Linked DNA regions of Caenorhabditis elegans. The protein of the gene in region 1 interacts with the protein of each later gene in a pairwise test. Each region holds a gene or a part of one and is shown on either strand. Other genes may lie near its edges.

Region 1 (7,154 bases):
ATCGTTTCCCATCTGCACGATTCCGTCAAAAATCCGTTAATTAGAGGGTTGGCAATAAAATGGCTTGACAGATGTCACACACCATTTTAGAAGCTTTCTTTGTCTCACTGACTGTCTGACTGCCCTCTGCTTCCTATCGTTATTGTTGCACAACATCTGCCACTCCACAAAGCTAAGCGTTTTCTATCATTTTTTCCCGCAAATTCTAAATTTATTTTCTGATGATTTTGAAATTTGAAACTCAATAAATCAATGTACAGTTTATTCCTACTTTTGGCAATTTTGGGATGCATTAAAAAGGTAAGTGAATAGGGTGAAGTGGGGGAAGTGATAATCAAATTCACAAGTTTCTCTCTGGCATGATGTATGAAATGTCATCCCAAGGATGACGGTAGAGTCCTTGTTTGAGTCGTGATTGGTCCAAATAATGTCCGATGAATCCGATGGAGCGACCGAGCACAAACATTCCATTCAGAGCACCTATCTCGATAACTTCTTGAGCTTCAGCTGTTGTGAACATCCCACTGTTGCGCAAGATGTCGACGAAGATGATGGCAATAGCTCCATCAACATTTAGAATGAGGTTTGGCTTCTTGGCAGTGGTGATCTTCTCAACTTCCAGAGCATAATCGAGAAGTGGTGTTTCTTGAGCAAACTCCTTTTTGTTCAAAGCAAATCTCTTGAGAATCTCGACACGCTTATCAGGGTTATTGATCTGAAATTATTTCATCAATTATCAAAAAACTGTATTTTCTTGAAACTCACGCTCTTGACACGATGGCCGATACCCATAATATGAGTTCCACGTTTGCGCATTTCTCCGACAAACTGATTTGGAGACCACCCTTGATCGAAAGCCTCAGAGAATTGACGAGCAGCTCCATCGAGAGCACCTCCGAATCGGTCACCGATGGTGAGGAGTCCAGATGTGAGAGAAGATATCAAGTCCTTTCCAGCGCGAGCACAGACGATAGTATTATGAGCACCAGAAACTGCTGGTCCGTGATCAGCAGTGAGCATCAAACAGATCTCTATGAACTTGTTGGCATGTGGAGGGAGACGTTTCTGAAAAAGGAAAATATACAAGGCAAATTAGATTTTTTTTTGAACCTGGAACCACAGCAAGCCTAGAACTCCACCGATTCCCATATCCGACTCGAGGACTTTGGTGATTGGGACGCCAGCATAGTTCAATTCTTCTCCGCGTTCGTCACAAATAGAGGTCATGAAGGAAGCTGGTTTGCGAATAAGCCCGAGTTCCCGAGCCCAGGCATAGTCCATTGGAACTGCAGGTGGTGGAACTTCCGGCTGTGGAACGATGATTTCAAGTCGAAGCAATTCTTCATAAGTCTGACGAATCTTGTTTCCGAGGTCGTCAAACGAATCTGGAACCAAAGCACCAGCAGTACGAAGAGCTGTATTTTTGCATGCAGCAGTTTCTCCTTGTCCATTTGCAGAAGCTCCAGCATGACCGAACTGAACTTCTGAAGTAATGTGATCTGCACATGTTCCAATGCACCAAGCAATGAGAGGCTTCGTGATTTTCTTTTCTTTCAATAGCTCGACAATACGATATTCTTCTATACCTCCAACTTCTCCAAGGAGGACAATCATCTTAACACGATCATCGTGTTGATATCTCATAACGTGGTCGGTGTACGTACTTCCTGGATAGCGATCCCCTCCGATAGCAATTCCTTCGTAAACTCCGTTGGTATTCTGTGAAATAATGTTGTTGAGCTCGTTCGACATTCCTCCTGAGCGGGACACGTAAGCGACACTTCCAGGACGATAAAGTTTCGAAGCAAGAATATTATCCATCATTCCTCCGGTATTTCCGATCTTGAAACATCCTGGCTTGATTCCTCCAACAGTAGCAGGACCAATTAAGGTAACACCCTTATCTTCAGCAATTTTAAGCAATTTTCTTGTTTGATTTTCTGGAACTCCTTCGGCAATAATTGCGATAACCTTGATTTGTGTAAATTGAAGAGCCTCCAGAACAGTTTCAAAAACTGAACGCATCGACGCGAACGTGACCATGACAGTGGCATCTGGATGACTCGCGAAAGCTTTTGCCATAGATTTGTAAGCAGGAATAAGGATTTCTTTCTGTCCGAAATAATACTTTTGCTTGTTGTCTCCAGTGAACGGATAGGTTGAAGCGACGACTGATGGGGAGTGTCTTCTGCAAACAAAATCGAAATCAAGCATTCCTTGAATAGCTTTGTGTTGTTGTCCCCAAATGATAGCCTTTGTGTCGTTCTCGAACAAGCTTTGATGAAGAGGGTGCCTCTTGGCGAGAGGATGTTCGATTGTGGAAGTGTTCGGAGCTGGAGATGCTGGAGGACGTTCCGTGCCTGCAGTCTGAAAACAAAAACTAAATTATTTCCTATGAATAATTAGAACATACGTTTCTTTCTGGGCTCAACAAAAATTGTCCGGTGGTTTGAGGAGCCGTCGGGACTGTTGGCATTGGCTTCAATCCGAGCGCAGCTCCGACAATTGCAGTCATATGAGTTTCCGGTCCAAATACATAAATCGGAATTTCTAGTTTTGTGGCAGCATCCTTGACACGTCGCAGTCCTTCTTGGTAGTTCGGACCACCACGTCGAACGTAGATGGAAACATTATGTTCCTTGAGCTTATCAATGAAAGTTTCGAACGCACGAACGATTCCTCCGAATGTTTTTGCGACATTTGTGAAGTTAGCAATGGATCCACCAATGATGAGAACCTTACCATCAGGACGTGGAGCACCTTCTGTCATGACGGATAAAATAGTCTTGGCGTACTCGTAAGTTTGAGCTTCCGATGGATCTCCAGAATATTCTCCGTAGTTAGCAAGTTCAGATGATCCTCCAAGATCACAAACAGTATCGGTAAACACAACTGATGCTCCTCCACCAGCCACCATGGTCCATACGCGTCCCTTTCTGTTAAGAATAGTCAGCTTCAAAGATGCTCCAGTCTTCGCATCCATATCAGAAATGTATTGCTCCTCCGAAGTCAAATCACGTCCAAATGGTGCCGGGAACTCCAGAGTCGGAGCGATTCGTGCAGAAGCATTCCGACCGCTCCATTTATCCGAGCACAGAAAACTGGCAGTCTCGTCAAGCTTTGCAGCCAAGTCCAAAATATGAATCTTGCCATTGGTGAGAACAAACGGATTGATCTCCAAGTATGTGAAGTGAAGAGCTTTGTAGGCTTCGTATAAGCTGCGAACGAACTTTCGGATATCATCCTTATCACTACATGGCCCGAGAAGCACGCCTAGTTCTCTCTCCGAAATTGACATAGCATTGTCATCAAGTTGAACTGGAACATGGACTGATCTGGCCTGAAAATATGAAAATTTTTGAGAAATAATTACCTACTACAAACCTTTTCCTCGACGTCTCCAATATCAACTCCTCCCTGCTCATAGAACATAATAACATCGCGACAGCGTTCGCTGTAGATCGCGATGTACATTTCTTCATTTTCAGTATGAGCACAAAACGGCTCAACAATAAACGTGTGCAATCTTCCCTCCGTTTGGCCAACTTTCACATAACTGTTTGCCGTCTTGCCGAACCAAGCTTCCAGCTCTTTAGGAGACCCAATCTTAACAAGACCGAGCTTTCCACGACGCTTGATAAGCTGATCCGGCTTGATAACACCCTTGTTGTCTTGTGCAAGCCATTCGTACTTGGCGGCGACGTCAGAAAACTTATCTCCGGCCTTCACGTGAAAAGCATGTGGGGCACTGACAATTCCGGTCGACTCGAAATATTTGTACAAAACCTGCAATTGTTTTTGTAAATCAATCGAATAAAAAATAAAGCTTCATACCTCTTTTCCTGAGAGTTCGCTGACAGCTTTAGCCGACATATCAGTATGGGTGTAATAACCTGAAAATGGACAGTGTTTAATGGAAAACCGGCAAAGTCACGGATATATTGCGTAACAGACGGATGAAATAGAAGAGAAACAGATAGAAATCATTCGAAAAAAGGAGGATTGTGATGCAAGACGACACGCGGTGGCCTACAAAACAGAAAAAGTGCGCTCCTTGTAGCGGCGGAGGCGCTCGAGATCGAGATCAAACCGAATTTATACATATGAGAAAAAGATTTATCGAAAAAGTAGAGAAAAAGAACACTCTCTGGCGTTGACATTTGCATTTTTATTCAAATTCAATATATTTCACTTGTTGACAAGCCGAATAGGGAAAAAACGGTTGAGAAATTATTTGAAACTTGATTTCAGAAATTATTAAATAAATAAAGAAGAAAATCTATAGAATAGCTTCGAGGGAAGATTGTTTTAATTTAAGGTTTTCTATATTCTGAAATTTCAAAAAAAAAAAAAGTTTTAAAACATTTTCCGACGGCTCTGCAGTCACCATTACGACATATTGCAGAAACTACGGTATCCAATACAGTAAGCTTCTAAAGAGACCCGAAGAACTCGGGGGATGTCCAACTGGGGGGATTACTAACTCGGGGGATTGGCCCCGCCCACAGAACCGTGGCTTGCAATACGCCCATTTCTGCAACTGCCGCACGGTTTTAAAACTGTATTTTTATCAATAGAGCGAGGATTAACAAGAAAAAATGATTTTAAAACCGTGCGGCAGTTGCAGAAATGGGCGTATTGCAAGCCACGGTTCTGTGGGCGGGGCAAATCCCCCGAGTTGGTAATCCCCCCAATTGGACATCCCCCGAGTTCTTCGGGTCTCCTTCTGAAGCTTGAAAGAAGCTTCCCTTAGTGAAACTACAATTTGAAAAAACTGAAAATCAACCTACATCTAGCTAATACATTTTAGACCCCAAATATTTACGCACATGCATCAAAAATACATCATAATTTCGCGCAACTTTGGCTAGGCAGTTTAAAGGCGCAAACTGACTGTTTCTAGTGGGTCTCGCCACGATCTCAGTCATAGTGGTTTCTTCAAGTGCCAAATTTTACAAGTTTGTTAATTTGATGTTTAAAAATCCAGGATTAATTATCGAATGGGCGATAAAGGGGAAATACTGCTGAAAATTGCAGACTTTCCAGAAATCCAATGTCTAGGGACATATGTCCTCTTTTCTTTTTGTAATGTCTCGAAGCCGAAACGAGGAGAAACTCTTTATACATAACTTGTACAATACGAAATGGATATATAATAATTGGAGTTCCAATACTACGAATTTCTTGTCACCGGGGTCATGTACTTGTTTCCCACATTTTCATTTCGAATAAACAAAAAAGAACAGAAACAAAACAATTCTAACTTTTGTTTTACTAATCCACTAATCCTCAAAACATTTCATAGTTGCGGAATCGTTTTGGTTTGCTCCTCCGCGGGCTCTCCGAATACTTACTCGCATAAGTTTCCTGTTTTGCTCATGTCCTTGAGCACACGTATTTATTTCTATGTGAATGTGCATACGGGCGGTCCTAAAGATGAGGAATAAGTAGGCATTGTAATTTGAGCTAAAGAAGAAGAAGAAGAAGTCTAGCTCTCTATTCGAACGCCATTTACTTGAAAGTCAAAGTACTTCTAACTTCAAGACCTCTCAAACTTCTATGATGTATTAGCATATATTTTAGGTTTGATATACAAATAAGTAATATCTAAACCTACCAATTTAATTAGGGCTTCCGGGTGGAAGGTCTGTGAAAATGAAATTAAACCTAATTCATCTAATCCGAAGCCCACCACCGATGCGCTTTTGTGCATATATTCAAAGAATAGGTTTAACACTTTACGGCAACGTGTGTTTTAGGATTTTTAGATAAAATATTTTACATGAATTTTTGCAAAGGTAAAAATTTCTGTCTTACGTAGTGATGGGTTGTCGCAAAGTTAACTAATCTGTTAATTGCATCAATTAATTTGTGAAAAAATTGGAATGTATTAAATTGAAGATTCTAAGTTGCTCGGAAATAGAACGTATTACCTAGTACCAAGTTTTTCCTCGAATGCACAATACTGTATTATTTTGCCAAGTAAAAAATCTCGAAAAAGTCTTTTTTGCTATGAAAACTTCTGTATTCATTTTCTCCAAATATTTCCTTCAACGTCACTTCTTTTTTCTTATTGTTTACCGTGTTCGATACATTTCCGCGCATTCTTCCCACCTAATCCCACATGCTCATTGCTTTTTGCGCCATGTGTTCTCTTTTCCATCACCTCCTCCTCAATTCATTTTCCTTCTGTGTGCACTAATTGCCCTTCTACAATAACACACTTCTCCTTCTCCACCATCTCTAGCCATTTGGTCATCCTTTGACACATTAACACGATTGAATATTTATGTTTGAGATTCTTTCCCTCCCTTCTCTTCTGCCATTCAATTTTCCTTTCTATTGTTTTGTTTTTCGAGATTTGTGAGGACACTTATGAAAATATGCGGATCAAGTTTCCGGAACTGTTTAGATGCCATTTCCAAGGCCAATATTATACTTCCGTAACTAATGCATTTAATTTATTCACTTCTATATTTATTGGGCAGAATTTCTAGTTATATATTTGTTTTTTTTTGTCATTTCTGAGTTTTGAGAGGTACTTTAATTTTCAGTCTTGCATCCAGCCTATTTTTTCAATTTTTTTTTACAAAGAATTCATTAAAAAATTGGCAATTTGCCAAAATTGGTATTTTGAATGAAAATATTGTTTTCTGTAAGTATTTCAACTTTTTGACTCCTTTTGAGCATATTTTGACAAAACCCCCCACTGAAGTTTCTTCACCATTTGTTGAGTGACCCTGCAGAGTACGGACAGTACTAAATGTTTTTTCTAAACAACTACAAATGGGATTCATAATTCAAAATCTTTCTACGATTCATGCTACTTACGAAATTCATGTGATGTCAGAGTGTACCATCTCGGCTTGAAATCTGAATTCAAAAATCTTATTTTTGATTTTTTGTGCTACTCATTCACAGCTTCCCTCGTCCTAAAACTTGAACATGATAAATATGACTAGGAAATCTGCAGGAAACACTGAGTATATCTAGAACCTTCTCTCATTTTCCTTTCACTTTCTAATTTTCCCGGTCCTTTCCGCCCATCTATCTCTTCCAAAATGTGCACCATGCACAACCACAGATGAAAATCCGTTTAGCGCGGGAGAAAAGGAGAAGCCTTTTCGAATACTTTTCTGGGTGGCCTTCCCATT
Region 2 (7,154 bases), on another chromosome or scaffold:
ATACTTTTGGTCTTTGGTGATTTTTAATGTCATTTGAAAATAAAATTACTCAAAAACTAATAATTCAAGCTAACAAGTTTCAACTAACCGTTATAAGCCGGCAAACTTTTTAAAAGTTAACTCTAATCCAAAAACTGATCAGGTTGTATGTATGTGCCTAGTTTGAATTATAACTTTTAAATATATTTGAATTTAAAATTAAGCATTTTGGTATCAAAAACCTTATAAAAGGTTCGAAAATACAGTTGAAAATTATAGTGAAAAATTGAAAAAAAAAATTCGTCGGATTTTAAAAATTAGTGGCTCTGCAACTATAGCAAAAAACCAAATCAGATTTAAAGGGGTGGTGCTTGTCAGGTCAGAATGTTTTTATCGGTTTTTGGAATTAAATTACAGCAGCAATCGGAATATAAAACACATGTTTTTTGAAGGTCAGAGAATATTATGAAACGTTGGTAAAAACATATTCAGTTTGAAATGTCAACTTATTTTGCTAATAGCTACAAAAGCTAAGCGAGTATCCAATTTTAGAAAACTAAAAACTAAATGAGTTTTTGTAAAATTCTACTTTAGTTCTAGCAGCTTCTAATTTGTGTCCGAATTTCCAACTAAAATTCTGAATAAAATATTGCGTCAAAAATTAGTATTGCACAGACGACTCCCAGAAAAAATACTACAGTTTGTTTTTATCAATAAATATCAAAATAATCTTCACAAATAACATAATTCCCGCACTAATCAATTATCTCCAAAAATATTAGGTCTCTTTTCAAGGTGAGAACGGAAACATTCGCGGATATTGTTGAAGTTTTGCATACAGAATACATGTGTCACTTGCTCATTCGGTACAGTTCCTTGTGCTGCACAGTATGGAAGACATGCCGGAAGAACGTTACTGAAATAAAAAAATAAATATCTACATTAAATAAAGTGAATACTTTTTCTTGCAACACTCTGTATGATCGGCTCTTGAAGATGCACAATCCCACATCAACTGCACAGTCTGATTTTTTGGACCACATGTGTTCAAATAGTGAAGCATCTAAATATATATTACATTTTTGAATTGAAATACTGATTCTTACATTTCCTTGGTGAATGGCTTCAAAATCACAGAACCTCTTTTTGCACATTTTGTCAGCGGTTTTCTGTCGAGCACAGCATGCCTTCAGCTTCTGATTGGCATCTCGTCTTGCAAGGCATCTGAGATATATTGTAATGATACAAAGGGATATTTTGAAGAATTGGATTGATAATTTCAAAAAGTTTTGTAAATTTTTCCCTTGACGATTTCTGTAGCTCAGCCAAATTTTTCAATTGGAGAATCTTTTGAACTAGATGATCTAGATTCCACTAGATGTTTTAGATGCTTCGGAAACTTTTTATTGTGTCAAAGTTTTAATTTAAAATAAAACTTTTTTCATATAAACTTACATAACGAATAGTAGACAGAAAAAGAAGACGCACGTTCGCATTGTACTGCGAAAATAAAAATGGTACGATTATAACAGTACCACCTCGAGTATCATCTATGTCCCGCCCATTATTTGAGTGTCCTCAAATTTGCATAGCATTGTTGTAAAACCATGTCACAAGTGGGATACTTTACAAAGTATATGTTAAAAATTGACAGCGAACACTAATGTTCTGAACAACATAGAATTAAATAAAAATCTAGCAAGTTCAATATCACGATAATCCAATATATCCCTGTTTGTAAAAACTAATGTTAGCTGAACTTTCATCTTATTGAAGACAGTGTACAAGTGGTGGATATCCATTGTCTTTTTTCATTTTCAACGGGAATTTTCATTGAGATTTCCACAAAATGATGGCTAATTGATAAGGGCAAAACGAGAAATCGTAGGAAGAAAAGTGATAAGAAGCGACGCCTTCGAGGCTTATTCTATCTTTTTCGTCTTCTCATTTTTGTGGAAAGAATCAACAATGAAGCTTCTTCTGTTAGCTGTTTGTGTCATCGGTTAGTTTTTCGATTGTTTCGTTGATTTATCCCTAAATTTAGCTCTAAATGGTAAAGGAAATATTTATCTAATTGGGTTAAAATATGTTCAAATTTGTTTTAAAAAATATTAAGAAAAATACATAACTAATTTATTTGACATATCCAAAACTTCTTAGTCATAACAATTTTACCCAATATGAATTCTGCTTGTACGTCAATAAATTGAAACGTTCTATAAATAACCAAATTTCGATTCTCATATTTTCTTCGTCTTGCACGAAATCGCAAAAAAAACCAGTCCAGAAAAATTGCTTCTATATAATTTTCAGTTGATCAATATATTTGACTTCAAAATTCAATTAATTTCAACATTTCAGGATTCGTTGCATGTTATGAAGTTGTACCGAGAGCAAGTGCTTTAAGACCGAGAGGAGATGTTCGAAGGTTTAACATTTATTCCATTTTTTCTTTAATCTATTCTTCAGATCACCCCTCCCATCATTATCGGCATATGCTCCTTTTGCTAAATCTCTTCGTCCAGCTTCTACAGGAATCCGACGTGCTCCAGCAGTTGTTACACTTCCAGCTCAAAAAGCTAATCGTTCAGTGAAAAGAGCTCCAGCTAAACCACTTCCAATGACACTTCCACTTCTTCCACCACTTCTTCCACTTCCACAATTCATTCCAGTACCTGTACCAGTCCTGTCTGCAGAAGGCCTTCCAACTCTTCCAACTCTTGCTCCACATACTTTCCCAACTTTCACTCCAATTCCTGGAATGCCAACAATGCCTGCATTGACAATGCCACCAAGTTTCCAACGTCTTCTTGGAATCACAACTACAACTATGAAACCAGCTGAAAAAGCTATGGAAACTGTTCAAACTGAAGAATCTGATAATGACACAACGTCCGAAGCTAGAGCTCATAGGTGAATTACTCAAATCAGGAGAAAATAATCTAATATTAATTAATTTCAGCGCCCCAACATACAGCAAAGATCTGAATACAATTCGTTCAAGACTTTCAAAGTTTGTAAGAGGAAGTGAAAAGAAAGTGACAAAAGCAGAAGACAACGCTGATTGGATTGTTCCATTCCATTGATCTCATCAAAATATAATAATTTTAATTAATAATAAATAATTTAATTAATTTAATAAATATACCCGCGTGACATCGTTTGAATTCGTTTTACACAGAAAAAAATCAGAAAATAAAAAGTGAAAAGAGAAACTGAATCAGTTTCAAATATTTCCTTGTCGACAGTTGCTTTCATCTTCGCATCAATCTATTCGGGGTAAGTTAATATTCAGACTGCAAAAAATCAAGCCACCTAGGGGACTCGAACCCCTGACCTTAAGATTAAAAGTCTCACGCTCTACCAACTGAGCTAAGGAGGCCAGCGAGTGCGCTGGGTCCAAAGGCATAGACGCTCGACTAGTTACAGGAGACGCGAGAGTGGGTTGCTGTGAGATAGACACGTACTATTTACAGATGGCAACCAACAACAATAGTTTTCATGTAAAAGGAAAAGAAGAAGTACAATTCGAACGGAAAAATGTGGTTGTAGCATGTGATGTGGTCAATGGAAAGGTAAATAAAGAATCCAACACAGGGCTCGCGTCGAGAGCCGAATAAAACTTCAAAAGCCCTGATGTGTAGAACAGTAGAACACTCTTTAATAAATAAGAAGTCCGGTTGCAATTTCCTTCGAGGCTGTAAAAAGACTCATTTTCAATTCAAAAATCGAAGAGATCTTGAATAATCACATTGCAGATTACATATGTGGATGTGAGTAGCCAACTGATGGGTGTTCTATTTGCTGGTGATGAGATTCTGAATGTCAATGGAGAAACTGTAAGGAATATTTTAAGATTTTCCGTTTCAACTAATCAAACATTTCCAGAACATCAAGACAACTGCTGACTTTATCCGTGCAATTAGTGCAAAACTTCCCGGAAAAGTGACAATTGAATTCATGCGAGACGATCATTGCCTTGTCACTGAAAAACCAATGCCACCACGTCGTCCAAATACTCAAATGGTTGAGTTGACTTTCACTTATCGTGGAGGTGCTGCAACAGGGATTATCATTCATAGAGTTAGTAATCAGGGACAATTTATACTTTCATGGATGATTTACAGATGGCAGTTGATCCAAAAACTGTGACTATTTCAATGGTTCAATCGGCTTCCAATGCGTGTCACTATGTCAAGGATGGAGATATTCTTGTTAAAGTTAATGACATTTATGTTCTTGATCGTGACTCTGCTAGAAAGGTATTGTAGTATTTTTCTTATTTTATTTTAGTAATTAACTTACTTTCAGCTTCTCTACGCGAGTGTCAACAACACAAAAACGGTCCGTCTTACATTGGAAAGATCCACAACTACTGATCCACTTGGTCCTGCTCCACCGCCTCCCGATGGTGCACAGAGCACACCTGCTGGAGTGAAGAAATCTGGAAATTCAGTGATGCTTCCTCCTCCAAAACCACCCCAAGGAAAAGCCAACAAGCAGTTTGATGTGGTCAGTTTGAACCCATTTCCTCTTATCATTTCATTTACCAAAACATGTTTTTATTTTCTTCTTTGCAGCTTCTTCCTCCTGATGTTTTGGAGATTATGAAGGCAAACAAAGATTTCTACAAGAAACCGTGCAAGAATCCTCCATGCATCATCAAAACAACCGCCGCATCAGCCCCTGCTCCAGTTCCAGCCACCTTGCCATCGGATCCTGCCCCAGAAGTTCGCATCCCGTACATTCCGTCTCCGAAGCCCCTGAAAATGACTCCAAAACGTGTGGGATCTTAACTTGAGAAAAGTGTTCGAAATAAAGTTTTCAAAAAGTGTTTGTTTGGTTGTTTACCGTTCTATCCATCCCTAACCTATGCCTAGAGACACAAATATTTACGGTCCTTCAACCTGTGATTTGAAAAAGGCAGGCCTAATTCTATTTATTGTTGAATGCCAGATTGGTTTCTCCTCGAAACCCTCATGAATCTAAAACCTACAGCTTTTACACATTATTTGAAACATTTCTAGTCTCACATCATCGTCCGTTTTTTCTTGCTCCTAGTTGTCTCACAGAGTTGCAAATGTTCATCTAGCAAACGTCTGCGTCTCTATGTCCTACTCACTATTTCCACTAGTTTTTCTTCCTGTCTCTCACTGTGCACGGACAGAGAGACGTACGAGACGGCCGGTGCTGCTTGGTACCGACTCTGTGCGTCTGGTTGTCCGTGTCCGTGTCCGCCCGCCGCTCTCACTCGCCAAAATATGACTGAGAATTGGAAAAAGGCAATGGATGAGAGTGTGTATCTGTCATTTCTGGATGCATACTGGCTCTCATTTTCACTTGATTCGGAGGGATATAGGCCATTTTAACCTAGTCATTCAATATACTCTCTCATTAGTTTACGTTCACTTGTTTGGAAATCCCATTAATTTAGATTTCAATTTTGAATTGCTAGCATTTTGAATCATTAGTTTTTAGCAAAGCTTCACAGTTCCAGAGACTGAGAAAAAACCCTCCATTTCAATACATCCAACTAAACTTAGCAACTAGATCTAAGTTTAAATAAAGAATACCGTACTATCAGCTGTAACACAGAGTTTACTAGGATTTATGAAGGATTTATGACTTCAACGGTAGACAGGCACGGCTTTTAGGCGCCTGTGACATACATTCATGCCCATTGCCTATTTTCTAAATTTAGCTGCGAACTAAAGTAAGGAACATGCTTGAAATTAAATTCCGATATAAAAAAGATTCGCGTTCACTCTAGTAGGCAAGCGTAGGCAACCTCAAAATACCTATAGGCAAGATGAAATTTTCTTACCGAACCACACATGGTTTGATTGCATCTTGGTATTTTTTGGCATTGAGAATGCCAATTCATATTTTAAAAACATGTTTATTCACTTCTACACAATTGTTTTCTTTTTCGTGAAAATTCTAGAACATCTGTTTCATAATTCTTCAGTAGAACAACAATTTCGAAACCAACAACCGTCAACCTACTTTAATCATTCCATGACTCAATAACCCCCTTTCTCCAATCCGTTCTCCCATTTCTTTCTGCCCTTTAGCACCCATTCGTCTGCATTGGATTGACCCATTGTCTGCATCTATCTCTGAATCTCTACAATATCAGTACTATTACAATTATGTTCCTCAACGAAACTGTTTGTCCGAAGAAAACGAAGAAAGTTGTCAACGCAAACAAATCTTGTCATACCACTGAGAAAATGGCTGTCTGGCTATCACTTGTTGTGTAATAGAGACTTTTTTTTGGTTTTTTACCACAAACTGTCCTTGGCCTTTTTTTTCCAAAACCAAACGGTTGTTCTATCTCTTTTTCTCTGCCAAGGTGTTCTCTTTGCCTGCACGCCTTTTTATCAAATTCACTTTCATTGAGAGAACACCAGTTTAATGTAACTGGTAATTCTGCAAACAAATCGATAGTTCGGTTTTCAATACTCGATAATTGGCAACCTTGTGACCCTCAATGTCATAAGAATTAGACGCAACATTGCTCTATCTCTTCTGCATTTTTTTTTGGTTTGAACTTTTAGTCTGTATCGGACTTTGTTTCCGTGAAGTTGATAAAGAACAACTGTCATTTTATAAATTCTAAAAAGGTAATAATTCATTTATGTTCAGAGCTTCTACGAATTTTATTTTATGATTATGGTTTAATTAATAATCTTTCAACAATGTAAATGTTCAAATATGAGACATAGCTCTGAATTCTCTAAAAGTCTATATTTTACTAAAGTTTGGTAATTTACCAAAAAACTAACTAAATATATTAATTAACCTTAAACTTTTTGGAGTGTGGAATTTGATTTACCCTTTTTCCAATAAAAATTGGTGATATATTTCACCTAATAAATCTTATCATTAATTTCCCAACAGTACAAGTTTTAAAGACACTTGCTTCTAAGTACTTTTCTAGAATTATACTTTGTTCCCTCTGGGTTCATAAGGTCGGATCGTGTGATTCGTTGATGGTCATAAACAAAACAAAAAGACGTGATGCTCTGAAATCAGCTGACCTTAACAATTGTTTATTTGTCCTCTGACTCCTACTGCTTTGTGTTCAGTTCATTCACTCTCCGCCCCAATATTTCCGCTCTTCACTTTTCACTCGCTCTCAGTTTTTTCTTTCCCATCACAACTCTACTATT

What was found. The genes of interacting proteins can lie anywhere in the genome.
Region 2: the proteins of acly-2 (region 1) and mpz-3 interact in a two-hybrid assay, tested with the Caenorhabditis elegans proteins (one large-scale study listed by BioGRID).

Annotation. Positions count from the first base shown.
Region 1 is NC_003283.11:13,113,227-13,120,380, reverse strand, and holds acly-2 (ATP-citrate synthase), read right to left. Parts: upstream 3,894-7,154; 5' UTR 3,874-3,893; coding exon 3,835-3,873; intron 3,787-3,834; coding exon 3,385-3,786; intron 3,341-3,384; coding exon 2,414-3,340; intron 2,368-2,413; coding exon 1,111-2,367; intron 1,066-1,110; coding exon 766-1,065; intron 716-765; coding exon 341-715; 3' UTR 249-340; downstream 1-248.
Region 2 is NC_003280.10:6,561,455-6,568,608, reverse strand, and holds mpz-3 (PDZ domain-containing protein), read left to right. Parts: upstream 1-3,212; 5' UTR 3,213-3,258; intron 3,259-3,288; exon of another isoform or gene 3,289-3,361; intron 3,362-3,455; coding exon 3,456-3,554; intron 3,555-3,737; coding exon 3,738-3,818; intron 3,819-3,867; coding exon 3,868-4,062; intron 4,063-4,106; coding exon 4,107-4,241; intron 4,242-4,290; coding exon 4,291-4,491; intron 4,492-4,559; coding exon 4,560-4,775; 3' UTR 4,776-4,815; downstream 4,816-7,154. Other genes in the region: dbd-6 (DB domain-containing protein), read right to left, coding at 739-895, 939-1,042, 1,086-1,203, 1,435-1,475; F18C5.5 (Vegetative cell wall protein gp1-like), read left to right, coding at 1,948-1,981, 2,341-2,407, 2,449-2,892, 2,942-3,065.